Mus musculus: one gene and its partners. The protein of the gene in region 1 purifies or fractionates together with the protein of each later gene. This does not show direct contact. Links are inferred from orthologs where the notes say so. Each region holds a gene or a part of one and is shown in the gene's direction. Other genes may lie near its edges.

Region 1 (5,155 bases):
ACTTTCATTTTATATCGCTTGATACTTAGTAATCTGTGATAACTGTTAAAAGCCAGGAGAGCCAGGCACTGTGGTAAGAACTTGGCCTCTGTGCATTTTCCCTTCATAAGATTTGGTTACTTTGTGCAAAATAATTGAAGAGAGCAATAGTAACAAAATGAAATTCTTCATCTCTTAGATTTTACTATCATGGAGAGAGACAATAAATATAAACAAGGCAATAGTCTAAAATCACTTATTTGATATTGTAGAGATTTAAAAAAAAAAACCTTTTTCCCCTATTTATATGATTATACAAGCTAACTGAATAAAGTTCATAAAATGTGTAAAGGCCTAAGAAGGAAAGTAAAAATCTCATTGTAGTGGAAACCATCATAAAAGTTCTGGTGACTTCACTATTATTGAAAAATAGGGTCTCCTTCAAACCCACTAAGCAGTAGATGAATTTGAACTTTTGATCTTGCATCCACCTTCCCAGGGTTCTGGGATCACAGATGTGTGCCACTAGGCTACCCAGTGCTGGGGAAGCGTCTAAGACCTCCTGTATGACAAACTAGGGCTTTACCAACTGCACTGCAAACCCAGCCGTCATCCTGAGGAACTGAATGAAGGCTTAGAATTCTGTTTATAATATACCCCAAACCCTCACAAACTGACAGGGGTAGAGGTCCTTAACTCCCAAAATGAAATTTTAAATTAAATTTCTTTCTTTCTTTTCTTTCTCTTTTAATACTTTTTCTTTTTTTTTTTTTTTTCCCTCAAACTTTGGGTGGAATTTGGCCAGAGTTTCAGATAAAGGATTCCCAGTAGGGCACAAGATTTGCCCTTCCTCGTAGACATGTTGAGGGTGAGAACTGCCTCAGGAAGCAGGAATGGTGACCAGGACCTTATTAGGTCGTCCAGGTTTGTTTGTTTATTTCCCAGTAGGCAATTTTAGAGTTGCCCAGAACTCTACTCCCTACACTGATTGTATACATTTAGCCGGGCAGTGATGGCATAAGCCTTTAATCCCAGCACTGGGGAGGCAGAGGCAGGCAGATCCTGAGTTTGAGGCCTGCCTGGTCTACAGAGCGAATTCTAGGAAAGCCAGGGCTAAAAAAAATCCTATACATTTAGGGACTGACCCTAGTACCTACCTATTTCTTTTCTTTCTCTCTCTTACTTTCTTTTCGAGACAGGGTTTCTCTGTGTAGCCCTGGCTGTCCTGGAACTCACTTTGTAGACCAGGCTGGCCTCGAACTCAGAAATCCGCCTGCCTCTGCCTCCCGAGTGCTGGGATTAAAGGCGTGCACCACCACCCCGGCTCCTTTTTTTTTTTTTTTTTCTTTTTTCTTTTTTTTTTAATTTACCTATTTCAAGAAATTTATTTGTGGCAATTGTACAGGTCTTTCTATAAGGAGTTTAAAGTCATCCTTAGCTACAAGGTGAAATCGGGGCTTGGAAAACTAAAGACAACCTCCCTAAATCAATCCCTTCAAATGTCCTAGCGTCCTCCAGTTCTCTCAGAGCCGTCAGGAGGCTCGGAACCAGCAGGAGGCGCTCTGAGCTAATAAAGAGAATAATGGAAGCGCGGAGGTTCTGAGCTCAGAACCCCAGGCAGTCACAATGAGACCTACATTCAAGTCGGGCGCTAGGCTGACAGGCCACGTCCTTTTTAAGCGGCCCGGCGACCACGTGACCTCCGGCGCGCTCGGCGATTGGCTCCGCTCGTCTCACTCCAGGCTTTGGCGCCGAGCAGGCCCCGCCCCTCACGGGCGCGACCATAGTCCGTGCGTCCGGAGGTAGTTCCTGCCGGCCTCTGGAGCGGGGCTCCTCCGAGTCGGACTCCCAAGTGATTCTCAGCAAAACAAGAGGATAAGAAAATCCTTTTCTCAGATCAGGTCCGTCTAAGAGGGCCGCGGGAGAGGGGCCTTTCCTACGCGACAGAGTGGAACCGGCCCAGACTCCCCCTGCGATCCGCATCGCTTCCATCGTGGTTCCGCCCGACGCGCGGGCCCCGCCTCCGCGGCCGCCGCCATTTTGTTTGGCCACAGGGGGAGCGAGCGGGAGCGAGCGGAGCGCTGTGAGGAGGGGGCTGTCTTGCTCGTCTTCCGAGCCTGCGGCCGCGCTGCTGCGGTGCTGAGGCGACGCCTTCCCCCTGCCGAGGGGCGCGGAGCCATGTACATCAAGCAGGTAAGGGCCGTGAGAGGCGGCGGGGTGTCCCGGAGCGCGCCGCGGGTGGGTTAGGGCCGGCCTGGGCTTGGGGGGGCGGGGAGGAGCGGGGCCCTGACGAGCCGAGCGCCGGGCTGCAGTCGGCGCTTTCCCCCGGGGCGCGGTGCGTGGAGCCGAGCGGAGCCGAGCGGGACCGGGCGCGGCGGGCTGCAGGCGGAGGCCCGGCTTCCTCGGGCGCCGCGGGCTGCTGCGAGCTGCTGGGAGGCCGCGTCGTTCTGCAGGCAGGCATGGCGGTGCATGGACCGCCTTCGCGAGGCCCCGGGCTGGGCTGCAGGCTCTCTCCGCCTTGCCTCAGGCTTTGCCCCAGCAGGGCGGACCCTCGCAGCAGGTCGCGTCGCGCCTGCTCACTCGGTTGTTTACTTCTGTCAAAATGCTCTTCCCGCGCGCGAGCGCCGAGCCCCCGGGACACGCGCTGGGCGACGTTTTTCTATTGGACGGGTCAGGCTCGGAGCGTTGCGATCCTATCTATCCCCTTTTCACTTAATTTTTATTATCTTATTTCTTTTTCTCAATGGACTCATTGGGGCTGGCCAGTGGTTTGACTGAAGGATGCCCTCTCACTGGGCTCGCAGGCTGGCAAGCTGCGACCAGCTCGCTCGCCCGCCCGCTCGCCTGCCTGCTGTCTGGACCTTTACTGTCGTGCAGAGCTCGGGGTCGAAGCCGCTGGGTTTGGAGAGCTTCTCCCAGAGCAGCCCTGCACCAGCAAGGGTTGCAGGCCATGTCGGAAGGGGTTTAGCGAATCTTTAACTTGCTTGCTCCCGATCGCAATGGTCTCCGCCGAGTGGACCGTTTCTGTCTTGCCTTGCGTGAGAAGCAAGAGACGGAGAAGGAAAGAATGTTGCCCTAGAAGTGCTTTCTGTGTTCTCAAGGGTTGTCTCTTCTTTAATAGGTGATCATCCAGGGCTTCCGAAGTTACCGAGACCAAACAATTGTAGATCCCTTCAGCTCCAAACATAATGTCATCGGTAAGTAAGTGTTCTTGGTTTACCATGTTAGACTTAGAATTGCTACCGATAGACGTGACAGGCCAGGGGAGACGGGAGTTGTCTTTGAATGTTAATATTCCTCCATGGGATTACCTGTTTCGTGTCTGCACCGATGAATTGCTTATTTTATAAAAATAAAATTTTTGTGTAACTCAGACGGATAAATCATTTTGGAGCCCAGTGGTGTAAGTTAAGTAGTGGAATGTTTGCCTAGCGTGTGTGTGTGTGTGTGTGTGTGTGTGTGTGTGTGTGTGTGTAGGATGTTGATGATGTGTCTTCATTTCAGAACCTTTTACATGAGAGGGTGTCGCCTGTTTTGTTCTTAGTCCATCACTGTTACTTTCTTTGAAGGATGGCTTATTTGCAGATTGTGGTCTTTTTCCCTTGCCAATTTCTTTGTGAGTGTGAGTTTTTATGAGAGACGTGAACAGACACTACCTGTCTCAGAAGGCCATTGGAAAGAGTAAAGAGAAGGGATATGGAAATTTGAGATTAAAGCTCACATGATTGTTGCCATTAACAGTACTTAGTTAAGGTTTTTTTGGTGTTTAAAGTCTCCGTTTTGCTGAGGAAACCACGTGCCACTGAATTTTGAAGGATGGATGAAGTTAGTGCTAGACTTGAGAGGTTCTGGCATTGGTGGTTTGACTGTTACAGTGTCCTAGTTGCAGTTTGCTAGGCCAGCCAGATGAGGTACTCTAGACAGTGGGCTAGGTGGTCCTGGAGAATAGAGGTTGGGGTTTCTGGTACCAGCAGGAGTGAATTCTGATGGGGCCTCATCGGGACCTTATCTAGCACTGTCAGTACAGGATAGGTGAGATCTGCGAGCAGACTTAGTCGAGGGGAAAAAAATGCCAGTGTTCACAGAAGGCCTTTAGAGAACAAGGCATTATTTACATAACATATGAAAGAAAACAACGAAGGAAATCCAGGAGTGGTTACTTAGTTCCAGCTACTCAAGAGGCTAAAGTGAGAGGACTCTTGAGTTGAGGAATTGAAGATGAATGTAGTCTGTGGCAGGACGGTTGGAGGCTAGGCTCTTTCTGCTGTTGGTACATGGGCTGCCCCCTTTGTGAGAGTAGAGTAGCCTGCTGTTTGTTCTCCTTGTGCTTGAGCTACAGAGGGTGCTAACCGACTAACTCGCAGCACAAGCATCTCCATTGTACTGGGCTTTTGCTGCATTTCATTATAGGAGCTTCCTGGTGTTTGCTAGTCTGAAAATCCTAAAAATGGAGAAAAAGAAATAATAACTAGGTTTTATGATATTTCTTATACTTCTAAGCTGAAAAATGCCTTAATATTTCAGTTGTGTGGTTGTCATCTGTGGAGATAGTGATTGCTATCTAGAATCATGTCTATGAGGTCTGTTAAGTATTTTTGTTTTAGTCAGATAGCAGTAGTTCTTTCCCTTTGCTTGCAACATAGTTTCTTTTGAGAGGAAAGTAAGAATTCTTCTATGTTTTAACTAAGATAAAGCTCCTTTCTTGATGCTACTTTTCCTGCCTGGTGCTGTTCACTGTGAGACAGATGGGAAGTTGTTATTAATGGGAAGAAAGTGGGAAGTAGTTAGGCAGTGAAGTTGTCTTTTAAATATATAGTGATGGGCTGGGGAGGAAGCTCAGCAGTTAAGAGCGCTTGCAGAGGACCTAGTTTGATTCCCAGCACCCACAATGGTGGTTCATAACCATTCATAACTTGTTTGAGGGGATCCAATCAATGCTTCTGACCTCCTGGCACCAGACACACATGCATGATATGCATATACATACATGCAGGTAAGATACACATACACAGAAGATGAAATAAGTAAACCTAAAAAAAACCCAACTTGTTTAATGATTTTGAGCCTAAAATAAAAGATTTGAAAGCAAATACCTCTTGAGCTGATCTTTGCCTCTGTGATTGCCCAAATATTGTTTGCCCTGTATGTCCTTGTCTCCAGTCTTCAGATCTGACAA
Region 2 (3,474 bases), on another chromosome or scaffold:
AAAAGCCTGTACCCACCACCTTCTGAGGGAGACCCTGGGTGGCTTCTTGTGCTGGTAGCTGTAAGAGTGAGGACTAGTCTACTGTGGAGCTTGTGTCTGTAGCCCAATCACTTGCAGAAGCTGGGGCTGAGGCAGGATAGCCATAAACTTGAAGCCAGCTTAGGCTATAGGGCCAAACCTTGTCTTTAAAAGAAAAAAAGTGAGAGGGCTTATGGGTATTGTTGCAGAGGTGACCCCACCTCAGGAGCTGCGGCTGCCTGCCCCACCCAGTACAGAGGTGAGTAGGTTCTTCTCCAAGCTGTCTTTTTACTTTCCCCTACGACACCCTTGTCCCTAAGCCCAGGACCATTCCGAGTGTACAGTGAGGATTTTGCTTCTATCAGTAAAAGATACCCCTTTCCATAGGTCACGGTGTGGCCTCGCTTCCCAGTCGGTGTAAGCTTGAGTAAGGACCTTACCCCCGCTTCTTCCCCAGACAACTGAGAAGGGGCAGTGTGGGCCCACAGGTGGTCTGCTGGGAAATGGAGAATAACCTGACTTTTGCCTCCCTCCAACTCCAGAAGAGGCTCCCGTCTCTTCAGAGGCCACTTCCCCGCCGACACCGGCGGCGCCAGTTATTATTCTGGGACAAGGAGACCCAGATCTCTCGGGAGAAGTTTGAGGAACAACTGCAGACTGGGGCTCACTGCTGGGAGTATGTGAGTACAGCCCAGGTCACCCTAGGGAATAGAGGGATGCGGGTCTGGCTGGACTTCTGAACTCCTAAGAATAATGGGAACCTGACAAAAAAAGGCCCTATTTCCTAGATGTGAGGGACTGCTTATACAGACACCAGGCTAGCAGCTGGCTTAGCCTCAAGCACTATAGGGCGGGTCTTGAGCCTGAACACAGGGGCAGGGGCCCTGGGAACTAAGGATGGCAAAGGAGGGGCAGGAAGAAGGGGCTTGCTCATAAAAGGGCCAATGGCCTTCCACCATCTTGCAGCCAGTGGCCCAGCCTCCCAAGAGGATGCTCACAAGCCCAGCGGAGCTCTTCAGAACCCCAACTCTCTGTAAGAATGGTGAAGACTGGAGCAGGTGGGAGCTTCAGAGCCTGGGAGCTTCAGTTTTATGATTGAAACCCATTTCCTCTCTTGTCAGCTGGCTGGCTACCCCCAGAACTCCTAGGTTTATGGACACACTGTGCCCAGGTCCCCCAAAGAATGCTCAGACAAAGGCCACAGCTGGAGACTGAGGAGACAGTGGAGGAAGAGAGAGCAGCAGATGAGGAAGAGAGGAGAAAGACTGAAGCTCTGAGCGAGATCGAGGTGACGCCCCCCAGCCCTGGCGAGCTCCGGCTGCCTCCTCATGCACACCACACTGAGATCCCGACACTCGGTGCTTGGGCCTCAGCTCTTGCTCTCCCGCCTGCAGGTTCTGAGGGAGGCCCAGGAGCCCAGTGGTCCCCTCATGCTGTCTTCAGGTAAGCACTTGGACAGGAGGGGAGAATGGAGACAGTCCTAACCAGTCTCAGGCAGCTAGTGCCCTAGCTGCTGAGGCCATGTCTGACAGCGAGGGAGCACGCAGAACGTGAAAGCATAGATTTGATTCTCCAGCACTCCCGCTTTTGTACACGTCTAAACTAGGCTCCAGATCATGAGGGAAGCTTTGTAGTCCCCGAGACTGAACACTGGGCCTTGTCATGTCAGGCAAATGCTTCACCACTGAACTACACCTCTAGTCTGGCTACAAGGCCCCCCAATTCCTCAGAGTCAAGCAGGCTCCCTCAGTGCTCTCTCCCTCAACAGAGCTCTCCCTAGAAGCAGCAGAAGATGAAAAGTCTCGTACTAGCCTCATCCCCCCAGAATGGTGGTAAGCATCCTGGTGGCGCAAGCGCACAGCCTAGTGGCCCCCACCTTTGTCACTGTCATGACTACCTGCCCCCCTCCCTGATTCCTTTGGTTTCCTAGGGCCTGGTCTGAGGAGGGGCAGCCCGAGCCCCCTGCACTGCCCATGCTGCCTGAACTTCCTGAAGTGCCCATGGAGATGCCCCCAAGGCCTGAACTCTCTTCAGAGGCTGTGCTCAGGTATCCGAGAGGCTTCCCTCTAGGGGTGGGACCAGGCTGTTATCCCAGCTGACACCCCTCCATTCCTGCAGGGCAGTAGCACTGAAACTGCAGGCCAACAAGGAGCTGGACTTCAGCAGCCTGGTGCCCCCTCTCAGCCCCCGAAAGTTGGCTTCTCGGGTCTTCTATCTGCTCTTGGGTGAGTGGGTACAAGAAAGCAGGGACAGGCAGGCCGGCCAGAGGCTGCTACAGCACACTCTAGATACTGTGGTGACCTGCCTTCTTTTCTGACCAGTGCTGTCCACACAGAAGATCCTTCTTGTGGAACAACAGAAGCCATATGGGCCCCTCCTGATTCGTCCTGGACCCAAATTCCCCTGAGCAAGTTCATTAAACCATATCCTGCCTCACTGGACTTTGCCTCTTTTTTTTTTTCAAGATTTATTTTTAATTTTAAATTATGTGTGTGTGCCAGCCAGATGTGCAAGGGAATGAGGGAATTAAACCTCTGGAGCTCAAGGCTGTCTGAGCCGTCCAGTGGGGGTGGACCGCATTCTGACTTCTGCAGGGACAGTATGTCCTCAGCGCAGCCCCTCCCTTCCCAGTCTCAGCTCTGAACACATACCTCTAGCCTTTGTGCAGAAAGCTAGTGTCCAAGCAGAAGACAGGCCACCTTTATTATAGTATGACGTCACAGCTCTGCTTTCTTATAGTATGACGTCACAGCTGCTTCCTTATAGTATGATGTCACAGCTCTGCTTTATTATAGTATGATGTCACAGCTCTGCTTTATTATAGTATGATGTCCAGCCCCAGAGACACCCCTGTTAAAACAGCACAGTTGACTTCAATGGATAGAGTCTTTGGTAAGGTGAACTGGACCAGGGCTGACCTCGGTCTTCGGACCCCTGGCCCCTGTGGCCTATAGTCTTAAGTGAGGCCCATCATGGCCTGAAGTTCCTGAGCTTTATCATTTGGCAGAGAGCCCAGGGCTGTGTGGAAGCTGTCGGTGTGCTGCTTGGCCAGGAACGTCAGGAGCAGCAGCAGGGCCGCCTTGGTGTCTGGGTAGAATAGAGAGAGGCCTGATGAAGGACCTGGTTCCTCCGCCCATAGTACCTCAGGCTCTCTGAGCCCTGCCTGTCCCCACTCTCCCTTGCCCTCTGTCGGCCTCACCTGGAGGGATCCGGTTGTCCGGCAGGATCAGGCTGCAGATGCGCAGGAGTTCTGAAGCCACATCCACAACCTATGGAATAGAACTGGTCAACCGGGGCAGCGAAGCAGGGCTTAGAGCAGGCCGTTGAAACCAAGGACAGAAGCCTGTGAGCTTGTCTGAACTGACACCCAACACAACCCGAATAAAGAAACATGGTAACAACCTCTTTTTAGAGGTTAAGATGTGTAACCAAAGATGTCAGCTTCAAGAGCATTTA
Region 3 (5,319 bases), about 48 Mb from region 1:
ATACAAGAACACTATCAGGAAAGCTTCCCAGACACTGATACATGCAGATATCCAGAGGCAAATACACAGTGCTTATAAATACACAAGCAAACTTGAGAGCCATTCCCTCAAAGTACACTAGTAGTCATACATGTACACATCTGTAACACATATCCCCTAACACTCCCCACCTTCATGTCATCATGCATCCCATGGGATATGTGCTCACAAACACTCATCACCCATCTACTCACCCACAAGTACTAACCAACACATACATCTGTATGAGTGGACACATAATTTCACATGGAGAAATTCAGGTGGAGCTGCCCCCTTTTGGACCAGCACCTTGAACAAGCTAAGCTGAGGCTTTTTTTTATACTAGGCTCTGACTACCGACTCCCAGCAAACTGTAACATGGATAGCTTCCTCTGGGTACAGTATCGGGGTCAGTAACATCCCCTAAAGTGGATCTTTCTCCCAGCCACAGCTCATAGTCATCTCTAGCTCTCCCAGACTGGCAGAGCAGGAAGGAGAAGCTCTAACTTTCAGGGAAGATTCTAAGGCCTACGAAGAGAAAAGGCTTGCTGAGGCTTTATAAAACAGGACGGTACCTAAAGGAATCAGGATCTGAGGCTCTGACCTCCACGCTTGAGGGACTCACTGTCTTGCTTCTTGAAAGATGCTATCAAACCTGTATCCAAGCTGGATCCTGGGGCTGCCCTGACCCCTTCCCAGGCCTCACCATAGCAAACAAGACGGGTGGTCTCCCGACTGGCCAGGGGTGTGTTGCACAGGCGGCAATTGGGGTTGTAGTCACTATCTTGTAGCCACTGCAAGTAGGACTGCACGATGCACTGGAGTGGGAGAGAGATGTCACAACTGGTGCCCCAGGCTCCACGATGCACACACCACTCCAAGGCTCAAATGCCTCGTTTTCTCTCATCAGACTCATCATTTCATCTGTTCCATTTATTGAGTGACCATTTATTGAGCAGCTACTGAAGGCATAGCAGAGCGCATCACACCCCATGTTCTTGCCCTTGTGGAGCTTACAGTCTAGCATAGGTCCCCACATGGATTTAGAAGTAGGCAATCTTGTCTGCCCACCCACCCGCCCTGCTCAGACACTGCTCTAAACGCCCCACCTTGGCGTGATTGGCTACTAGGCAGTGCTCGCAGACGTTAACTCGGTGTTCGAAGCAGAACAGGTTCGTCACCTTCCTCTTGGGGCACTTGCAAAGTCCCATGACCGATCCTGGAGGGTGTGGTGGGGTGAAATCAGTTAGCAGGAAGCCAGGTTTTGGTGGCTGCCAGTTTGTTTTCACCAACCCAGTTCTCTTCTTTTAAATCTCTCAGTCCCGTCTCACACCAGTCCCAACACCAAATTCTAGCATAATGCCTTAGCATGGGTAAAGCCACGTCTCCTGTACAGATCGTACCACAAACGACCGACCCTTCATTCCATCAAGACCCAGGAAGGCCCTCGCCAGATCTCTGCACAGCTCCAATACCACCAGCCCCGCCCCCAAGACCCACCCCCTCTTGACCCGCCCCCAGCTGGCCGACCACATTCTGGATGTCCGCGAACCTCCGCGATGCCGATCGTGACCGGTGCGTACGGTAATGAAAAGCGCGGAAGGCCGGGGACTGAGCTCACCAACTCCGGTAGCTGCAGCTCCGCTCCCTTCAGGTCCGGCCTGATTATCCCTCCGCTGCCACGTCTCTTCCGGGTGCGGCGCACGCTGATGACGCCACAGCGCCGCAGGATACGCCTCTGCCTTTTGCTAGCTAGACGTAAAGCCTGTGACAACAAAAGCGGATGGTCCGCCTCCGGCCTGTGTCACTTCCGCTTTCTCGCTAGCAAGGCGGGCAATTTGAACGTTTGAAGCAGCAAAGTTCCCGGTTGGCGCGAGCCTGAGTAGGCGACCGCGGCGGAGACTGAGCCCGACCGTACACATGGCGGAGCGGCGAACACGATCAGGAGGGGCTGCCCAGCGGTCTGGTGAGCACGGGAGCAGTGGAGCGGGGTTGTTTGGGGAACAAAACTTGGCTCCCGGTGGAAGACGCCCCAAAGGGGTAGTTGGAAAACGACTTTTGCTTTTCCGAACTCGTCAAGCATCTTGTTTCGTTTGTTTGTCGCCTTTTCTTCGAGCAAAGTTTTGCTCACCATCAAACGTGTTTTCCTTTCCAGGGCCCAGGACTTCACTTACTAAGCCTTCGAAGTCGTCCAAGCGGAAATCTGGCTCAGATCTCCCGAACTCGTTCTCTGAAATCTGGCCGAGGGTGAGTTCCTGGTCCCCCAGGTGTTGGGGTTGGGTTTGTGCGCTGCGTATTCAGATGCTAATTTCTATGCCTAGGTATCCTTAGTCCGGCTAACTAGCACCTCCGGGCTCACTGTTGTTTTTTTTTTTTTAAATCATCTCTGATTGGTTGATAAAGAGCTGATCAGCCTATGGCTGGGCAGGAGAGGACAGAGGAGGCGGGACATCAGCGCCCATTGAGGCGTCCGGAAGAGTCTAGGGAGAGAGAAGTGGGAGAGGGGGAGGCGCGGAGAGAGCAGGTGGTTTCACTCTAAGGTCAAGAGGAGGGAGAGAGCAGTCATGAGGGCACACATGGACCAGATTGAGTCAGAGTAAGACTGAGATTCAGGTAGAGGACCGTGTGACTGGTAGATAGGCAGCCTGAGAGGGTTAGAGTAGCTCAGAACCTGCCCAACATAGTGCCAGCAGCCTTTGAATAACAGCTCTGTGTCCTTTACTCAGGAGGTAGTGGCGTTGGGGGGAAGAAATGCCCTGCAGTTATTTGGGAGCAAGGGAGTCAAAAAACTCCCGCCCAATGCTTCCACAGTTGGTGCCCAACATGGTGCAAGAACTTACAAACTTAGAACCAGGCTTAGAGGCTGAGAAGTCTTGGATAGAAGATAAGGAAAACTTTTCTCAGCAACACCCCCAAAGTACTTTTTTTTTTTTTCCTCGAGACAACGTTTCTCTGTATAGCCCTGGCTGTCCTGGAACTCACTTACTTAGTAGACCTGGCCGGCTTCGAACTCAAAGATCCACCTTCCTCTGCCTCCCAAGTGCTGGGATTAAAGGCGTGCACCACCACTGCCCGGCTCCCAAAGTACTTTTACACTGACCTAGAGGGCTTTGAACTATTGTAAAGCTCATGGATAATACTTTCTTTTACCCCCCCCAGACAACTCCAGCGGTCCCAGTCAGAAAGGCCATCGTCTTGAAGAAGATCGTAGCTCATGCAGTAGAGGTGAGGGGCTGAGAGAAGGCTTTGGGAGTGAGATGTCAAAACTGGGCTTAGCTATTGATTGATCAGTTGATGTCATCCCTACAGGTCCCAGATGTCCACACGGTTCGAAGAAGTCCTAGGGTGAGTTCAGTTCTGTTTATTTCTGTTTATTTGTGTAGGATTTACCCTTAGAGGGTAGGCATACACTTCTACCCAGGCAACTGCTTCATGGCTTGTCAGTTTAGGTCTCAGTGTATAACACTGTTTCCTGAACTGGAAGTTACGGTAGACCAGACTGGCCTCAAATTCATAGAGATCCACCTGCACCAGTCTCTGCAGATAGATTCAAATCTTAGAGATGGGCATGCTACCAGGACTGACTGTAGTTACCAGTCTTGTTTCCTGCCTATGGGTGTCATTCATTTCTTTTTTTTTTTGGGTTTTTTTGTTTTGTTTTGTTTTGTTCCCCAGAGCTGAAAACCACTGAGCTAAATCCCCAACCCCAACCCCTCATTTCTAGTTCTTTATGCTCTGAACATTCTCACTATTTTTCTTAAAAAGTTATGGTTTAACCACTGGGCTTCTGTAGACTGTTTTGCCACTGTTTTGTTGTGATGTTGTGATGGCGCACGCCTTTAGTCGCAAGATTTGGGAGGCAGAGGCAGGCGGATCTCGGAGTTTTAGGCCAGCCTGGTCCACAGAGTGATAAGGTTGTTTTGCTGAGTGTTTATTTATGTTTTGTTTGTTTGTTTGTTTGTTTTATGGTTATAGAATGAGTTATGTGTAGGGGCTGGAAAGATGGTTCTGGGTAAAAGCAGTTTTCAGATTCCATCAGATGGACCCTACACACCTACAGCTTCAGTTTGAGAGTATCCAACGCCCTCTTCCGGACACATGCATACGCAGTGTAAAAGGTGCTGGGTGCTGGTGCACACCTTTAATTCCAGCACTCAGAAGGCAGAGGCAAGTGGATCTCTTTTGACTTATAGGCTAGCTTGGTCTACAGAGTGAGTTCCAAGACAGCCAGGGTTACCTGTGGCCAAGCCTGGCCCTGAATTTAGTATGTGCGTAAAGCTGGTTTTGAATTCCTGATTTTTCAATCTCCCAAGTGTACCCAGTGGTGCTTTGCTCTCTGACCAGGGTTGTGTTGCTGGCTGGCTTTGGTACTCTTCCTGCCTGGTATTTCTCAGTGTCCTGGGAATTGCAGACGTGAGGCAAATTGCCAGTTTGATTTGTTATTCTGATGTGTGTGGTGCTGGAGATCTATCCCAGGGCAGTACTAAGCAGGTACCCTGCTGTTGAGATAATCCCAGCCATCTTGTGATGGTGGAGGTGGGTTTTCAAGTCCTAGAACTTGCTTTGAAGACCAGGCAGGCCTCAAACTCACCGAGATTCAACCCCCACCCTAGTGCTAGGGTTAAAGGCATGCACTACCCCACCTAGCTTCCCAACCAGCTTTTAACCAAAGTACTGACATAATAAAGCCGAAGTATTGTAGAAAGGTTTCTCTGTGAATGACGTCATTGGAGTCCTAGGACCAATGAGGAGAGTTAAGATGGTGAAGGCCCAACTAAGATGGTGGTGGCCCCGGTGTGGTGGCGCACGCCTAAAATCCCAGCACTCGGGAGGCAGAGGCAGGCGGATTTCTGAGTTCAAGGCCAGCCTGGTCTACAAAGTGAGCTCCGGGACAGCCAGGGCTATACAGAGAAACCCTGTCTCGAAAAAACAACAACAACAAAACAACAACAACAAAAAAAAGAACACAGTGAGGAACACTCGGGGTCAGAAGACAGAATCAGCTGGGTGGTGGCAGTGGTGGTGCACACCTTTATTCCTGCACTTGGGGGGCAGAGGCAGAAGGATCTCTGAGTTGCAGGCCAGCCAGGGCTGCAGAACAAAATTCTCCAGAGCTTATGGCCAGGAAATCTCTGATGACTTCCTTGTATTAGAGCACAGTGCCCCTCCCTGAGTTTGTCCTTTGACGAGTTTACTAGGTCTTCAGCTCTTGAAAAGTAGTTGCCATGTTTCACGTCCACTCTGAGCCTGCAGTGTGCAGGGCTCTGCTGGACGTGTGGGCTTTGACAGTGATCAGGCGGT
Region 4 (5,269 bases), on another chromosome or scaffold:
TTGGTGATGGTTTGTCTCCACAAAGGTGAAACAGTGGTTTAGAGAAATAATAACAAAGTAATACACTGCATATTATATTTTTACCTTCCTATATGAGAATACCTTTCAATAATGGATAGTTGCTGGGCATAATGGCACATAAGGGTGCCTATCTGCAATCCCTGTACTTCAGAGATGGAGACAGGAAGACTGAGGAGCCAGCCTGGGCTATATAGTAAGTTCCAGGCTGGCCTCAGGATATGGTGGGACTCTGCCAAAACCAATCAAACAAACAAACAAAAAAAACCAATACATTTTTTCCCCTCCTGTTTTTATTCTTTAGGTCTCCCAAATCTTTTTACCTCAGCCTTCCAAGTTCTGGGACCACTGGCATATCAGAGGAGACCTGGCTCCTCCCTGCCACGTATTACTAGCATATTCATATTACTGGAAATCTTGAGTTCAAAAAAATCCTCTTGCCTAAATCTTTTGATTTAGCTGCAACCATAGGCCAGTTAAAAGGTGGGCATTTTAAAGAACAATGTATAAATTCAATTGCTGCCAGCTTCTTCTTTCTGTTTTTTTGAGATAGGGTTTCCCTGGCCATCCTGGAACTTACTCTGTAGACCAGGCTAGCCTCGAAATCAAAGATTTGCCTGCCTCTGCCTCCCGTTGAAAGGCGTGAACCATAACGGCCTAGCTTCTTCCTCTTTTCATTATTATTATTAATATTTTTTACTTTTTTTGAGACAGGGGTTCTTTGTTGCCCTGGCTGTCTGACGTCCTGGAGCTAGCTCGATTGACCAGGGTGCCTTGAACTCAAGAGATCCGCTTGCCTCTATCTCCCAAATGCTAGGATTAAGGGCGTGCACCACCATCACCCCCTTCTGCTTATTGTTTTTGTTTTTTTGAGACGGTTCTCTGTGTAGCCCTGGCTGTCCCTGGCTGTCCGGGAACTCACTCTGTAGACCAGGCTGGCTTCGAACTCAGAAATCCGCCTGCCTTTGCCTCCCAAGTGCTGGGATTAAAGGCGTGTGCCACCACTGCCCGGCTTGCTTATTGTTTTAAAAGGTGGTTTCCTGAAATTATGTGTGTATTGTTCAGGTTCATTCGCTTCAATATTTACCTTAAATTGCTCAAGCACCGCTGCACTAAGTTTTCTTTGGCAAGCCTTTCCTTTGGAGGAGAGAAAAAGTAGAGCTTTGGTGTATTCACAACTTAAAAAAAAAAAAGAGGTCTCAGATTCACATAGGTAATTTGTAAATCTCTAAAAACACCCTCCCTCTTTCTTCTTCTGGGCTTCACTATCAGGAACCCTAGTCTGTGTTTTCAGCCTGTACCCAAAATGACTGGGAGGCCAGAAGCCCCGGCACCATAGCTTGAGATCGCATGCCAACTTCCTATTTTGCAGCTTTGAAAACCTTAATGGTAGGAGTCTAACTAAGGTCGTAGGCTGCGACCTAGGGCGACTCTCCGGAAGACGCGAGAATGAGCAGCCCGAGTTGTAAAACTTTGCCTCGGCTTCCAGAGCTCTGTTTGGAGGGGAAAGCAGCCGTTTCTCCAGATAATTAACCATTTCTCCACCGGTCCGGTCACATCCCCGCCAGCCAAGCCTTCAAGAGCCCCGGACTCCGCGACAGCGGTGGCCGGGAGTGTCGCAAAGCCGCGCCTCCCGGGGTCCGCTTCCCGCCACCGGGGCTCCTCCTCCGCGCGCCGGCTCGGCTGCCGGCCCCCCGGAGGCGCCCGCGCGGGCAGGTCTTGGCGCCAAACGGGTGGCGGCGCTGTCCACCACGCGCGCGGCCGCGTCGGGCTCGAGGGAGGCGGGGGCTCGGCCGGCGGAAGAAGGGGCGGGAGCGAGGCGCGCGGTGCTCTCGCGGGCTCTCGCGCCGCTCGCGTGACGGGCTCCGGCTGTGCGCGGCGACGCTCAGGCTCCGCGGGGCACGGGCGGGCCGGGAGCGCGCCGCGGCGAGAGGGCGTCTGGTGCGGGTGGGCGCGAGGTGCGGGCGGCCGGCCGGCGAGCGAGCGAGCGGCCGGGCGGGCGCGGGGGACGCGCGGGCGTGCACCCGCGCGCGGGCTCTCGGAGGAGCCGCGGCCGAGGCTGCGCTTCCTCAGCCCGACGGAGAGCGGCAGTGTCGCCCCGGCCGGCGCACGCTCGGCCCGCTTCTCCCCCCGCGGCGGCTGCTCCTCGGCACCGCCAGCCCCAGCGCCGCTCCGGGGCGGGCGGGCGGCGGCGGCGGCGGCGGCGGGACGGACGGAGCCGCTTTGTGTGCAGCCCGACGAGGGGCGGCGGCGGCGGCGCAACCACCTGACAGAGGCCCGGCGCTCGCTGCACCGTCCGCCCGCATGAGGAGGAGGTAAAGCGGCGGCCGGGCTCGCGCCCTCGGCGGCGAGGGAGGGACGGAAGGGGAGACCGCAGGGGAGGGCGCGCGCGGAGGCCCGGCGGGGTTGCCCGGAGCGGCGGCTCAGGCCTTGGCGGTGCCGAGGAGCGCCGGGCGACCGAGGGGCTTGAGATGCCGCCGGGCTCGGTTGCTGAAGTTAAGGAACAAAAATGTGAAGTGCGGAGCCGGGTCCTTCGCTTCCTGGCGAGGGGCTCGGGCGGCTGGCGGGGGTGGCGGGCTGGCCGGGGAGGGGCGGCCGCGCGGCGGGGACGCCGGGAGCCCGGGGCTCGGCACGGCTATGGCGTTCTGCTCCCGGGCGCCGGCGCCGCGCGTGGGTCCTCTTGGGTACCTAGTTTTGCGGCCTAAGCTGAACCCTCTAGGCCTCGAGTCTCCTTTCCCGGAGGTGACCGGCCAGGCGGGGACCCAGCCGCTTCTCCTGAGCCAAGTGGGGCCGTTGGGTCCTCAATGTCCCCCCGAGGCCACCAAACTTCCGTCCTAGGTGCTCGGGGATACATTTCATTGTGAAAAGAGGGCTAGGAAACTCCGGGAGCTGCTCGGCGCCTCTCGCGGCCGGGGCTGCTGCAGCCGAGAACCCCGTGGCACCGGGGCTGGCTCGGGTGGGGGTGGCGGACGCCTAGCCGGGTCCGAAACCCAGGGAAGGAGCGAGTGGCGGGGTCCCCGGCCTCGGGGGGAAGAAAGGGCCCTTTCTAGATTAGAGATTTTTGAAATGAAAAAGAGGTTACAAAGTCGCCCCTTTTCCCGCTGAACTTTGATTTTCTGACCGATAGAGGCCGGTAGAGGACTGTGAGAGAAAAGTTATTCCCCAGGATGGACTTCACGCAGCCGAAGCCTGCCACTGCCCTCTGTGGCGTCGTGAGTGCGGACGGGAAGATCGCTTACCCTCCGGGAGTAAAAGAGATCACCGACAAGATCACCACCGATGAAATGATCAAACGTCTGAAGGTAAGGGTCTGGGTCGGCGATCTGCGCTCTGGATGGCTTTTGTGACTCGTGTGGTTTCATTGGACTACTCTCAACCTGGCCTTTGGAGTTTTTAGTACTAAGTTTTTGAAGATATCTTAACCGCCCCGGAAAAGTCCTGTTCTAACTTGGCGGTATCTTTGGATAAGTTCTGAAAGGACGGGGAATTTAAAGAGTGTGATCATTTTCTGTCCATAAGAACGCATGCATGGTTAGTTGTTTCCCTTGTGGTTATTTTATTTAGTGGATGTTGTTTAAGGGGCTCGATACCCTGAGGTGTAGACAGTGATTTTACCCACGAAAGTTCCTATTATTATCTACTCCAAGAAAAGACTGACTTGAGCACAAACAACCATATTGTCCCCCTTAGATTCTCGTAATTTTCTAATGGGAGCTTAACTATCTATACAGTGGGCTAAACTTAATACAGTGTACAGATTTTTCAGAATTCGAGCTTAAGGAGAAATGATGATTTTAGTACACATGCCCAAGAGAGTTGAAGGACGGGATTGTTGATATGTCTGTGAGTTTGTGTTTGTGTGTGCGCACCGGTTTTCTTGGTGTAACAATCTTGCGCTGTCATTTTGGGACTTAACTTTTCTGCTACTGCATAGGGCAGTGTTTGTTATGGAATCAGTTTCGAGCAGTGATTGTCACTTTGGACAACTTTGATGCACCAGGGGGTGTTGTAGGCAATTTCAGAGTCATTTTGGTTGTCACAGTTGGCTTGTGGGGAGTAGGCTGTGACGTTCTGTGAGGAGGCTAACAGTTGTCTAGTGAAAGATCTTAAACTATTGAAGTACAGTGTGGACAGTGGGAGAGGCAAAGAATGGGTTTGATGACTTGTTTAAGAGAGGACTAGTGGGCTGGAGAGATGGCTCAGCAGTTAAGAGCACTGACTGCTCTTCCAGAGGTCCTGAGTTCAATTCCCAGCAACCACATGGTGGCTCACAACCATCTGTAATGGGATCTGATGGCCCTTTCTGGTGTGTCTGAAGACAGCTACAGTGTGCTCATATAAGTAAAATAAATCTTTAAAAAAAAAAAAAAAAAGAGGACTAGTAACCCAGCTGCCTGCCCTTGAACTTAACCATTTTCCTGCCTCCACTTCCCAAAACACTAGTGGCATAACCACACCCTGCCAACAACAGTGGTTCTCAACCTGTGAGTCGAGACCCCCCCCCAACTATCTGATATCCTGTCTATTAGGTATTAACACTGTAATTCATAACAGTAGCAAAATTACAGTTATGAAGTAGCAATGCAATTATTTTGTTTGAGGTCACCACAACATGAGGAAGCAATAGGAAGGTTGAGACCCATTGTGTTAAAAGGTGCACTTCAAAGTCAGACATGGTGGAAGGCTAGGCAGGGAACATCGAGGACAATGTTTCTGCCTTATGCAACTTTATAAAATGGATTTCTAGGGCCTGATTTTAGGATTGAGCACAGTGCCCAGTAAATGTTGTGTGTTTAAAGTGTTCCTGTGTTTAAGTTTCCATTTGTTGCCTTTTTGAAAGACCTGGTTTCTTTAATTAAAAGGCACCTTTTCCATTTTCTTTCCATTTCTTTTTCCAGGGCTAGAGGTAGGGACTTGTGCAGGGAGCACATATTAAACTCAGGCTCTGCTCTATCTCTGAGCTATACCTTAGTCTAAAGCAGATAAATCTTTTAGTTGTTTTCAAGATAGGTTCTGGCCTAAAACTTGCTCTGTAGACAAGGCTGGCCACAACTTCTCTTTGCCTTTGAAGTGTTGGGAACGTGCCGTCAAGCTCCACTCAATGTGCCTTTGTTTTACGTGTGAGGTTACTGCGTGGACATGCATGTTCATGTGTAGGTACCGAGCGAGGCACTGTAGCTGGTCTTTGCTACTTGGTGGGGCTTTTCCCATCCTCTGTCCTCCAGTTCCACCCCATCACTAGATAAAGAAG

Evidence for each region.
Region 2: the proteins of Smc3 (region 1) and Rec8 purify together in Homo sapiens (affinity purification with mass spectrometry; 3 studies listed by BioGRID and IntAct, with this or other methods). This does not show direct contact. The link is inferred for Mus musculus from reciprocal best matches to the Homo sapiens genes SMC3 and REC8.
Region 3: the proteins of Smc3 (region 1) and Cdca5 purify together in Homo sapiens (affinity purification with mass spectrometry; 7 studies listed by BioGRID and IntAct, counting the BioPlex papers as one, with this or other methods). This does not show direct contact. The link is inferred for Mus musculus from reciprocal best matches to the Homo sapiens genes SMC3 and CDCA5.
Region 4: the proteins of Smc3 (region 1) and Pds5a purify together in Homo sapiens (affinity purification with western blotting; 8 studies listed by BioGRID and IntAct, with this or other methods). This does not show direct contact. The link is inferred for Mus musculus from reciprocal best matches to the Homo sapiens genes SMC3 and PDS5A.

The regions. Positions count from the first base shown.
Region 1 is NC_000085.6:53,598,383-53,603,537, forward strand, and holds the start of Smc3 (structural maintenance of chromosomes protein 3), read left to right. Parts: upstream 1-2,013; 5' UTR 2,014-2,157; coding exon 2,158-2,172; intron 2,173-3,100; coding exon 3,101-3,176; intron 3,177-5,155. UniProt on the Homo sapiens protein: Central component of cohesin, a complex required for chromosome cohesion during the cell cycle. The cohesin complex may form a large proteinaceous ring within which sister chromatids can be trapped.
Region 2 is NC_000080.6:55,622,937-55,626,410, forward strand, and holds the end of Rec8 (meiotic recombination protein REC8 homolog), read left to right. Parts: intron 1-227; coding exon 228-277; exon of another isoform or gene 278-445; intron 446-560; coding exon 561-698; intron 699-984; coding exon 985-1,051; intron 1,052-1,139; coding exon 1,140-1,306; intron 1,307-1,412; coding exon 1,413-1,461; intron 1,462-1,786; coding exon 1,787-1,850; intron 1,851-1,948; coding exon 1,949-2,065; intron 2,066-2,136; coding exon 2,137-2,243; intron 2,244-2,339; coding exon 2,340-2,425; 3' UTR 2,426-2,459; downstream 2,460-3,474. Other genes in the region: Ipo4 (importin-4), read right to left, coding at 2,975-3,105, 3,218-3,287. UniProt on the Homo sapiens protein: Required during meiosis for separation of sister chromatids and homologous chromosomes.
Region 3 is NC_000085.6:6,083,225-6,088,543, forward strand, and holds the start of Cdca5 (sororin), read left to right. Parts: upstream 1-1,872; 5' UTR 1,873-1,938; coding exon 1,939-1,984; intron 1,985-2,173; coding exon 2,174-2,265; intron 2,266-3,177; coding exon 3,178-3,243; intron 3,244-3,327; coding exon 3,328-3,363; intron 3,364-5,319. Other genes in the region: Zfpl1 (zinc finger protein-like 1), read right to left, coding at 725-836, 1,128-1,229. UniProt on the Homo sapiens protein: Regulator of sister chromatid cohesion in mitosis stabilizing cohesin complex association with chromatin. May antagonize the action of WAPL which stimulates cohesin dissociation from chromatin.
Region 4 is NC_000071.6:65,694,814-65,700,082, reverse strand, and holds the start of Pds5a (sister chromatid cohesion protein PDS5 homolog A), read left to right. Parts: upstream 1-1,846; 5' UTR 1,847-2,333; intron 2,334-3,145; 5' UTR 3,146-3,185; coding exon 3,186-3,320; intron 3,321-5,269. UniProt on the Homo sapiens protein: Probable regulator of sister chromatid cohesion in mitosis which may stabilize cohesin complex association with chromatin. May couple sister chromatid cohesion during mitosis to DNA replication.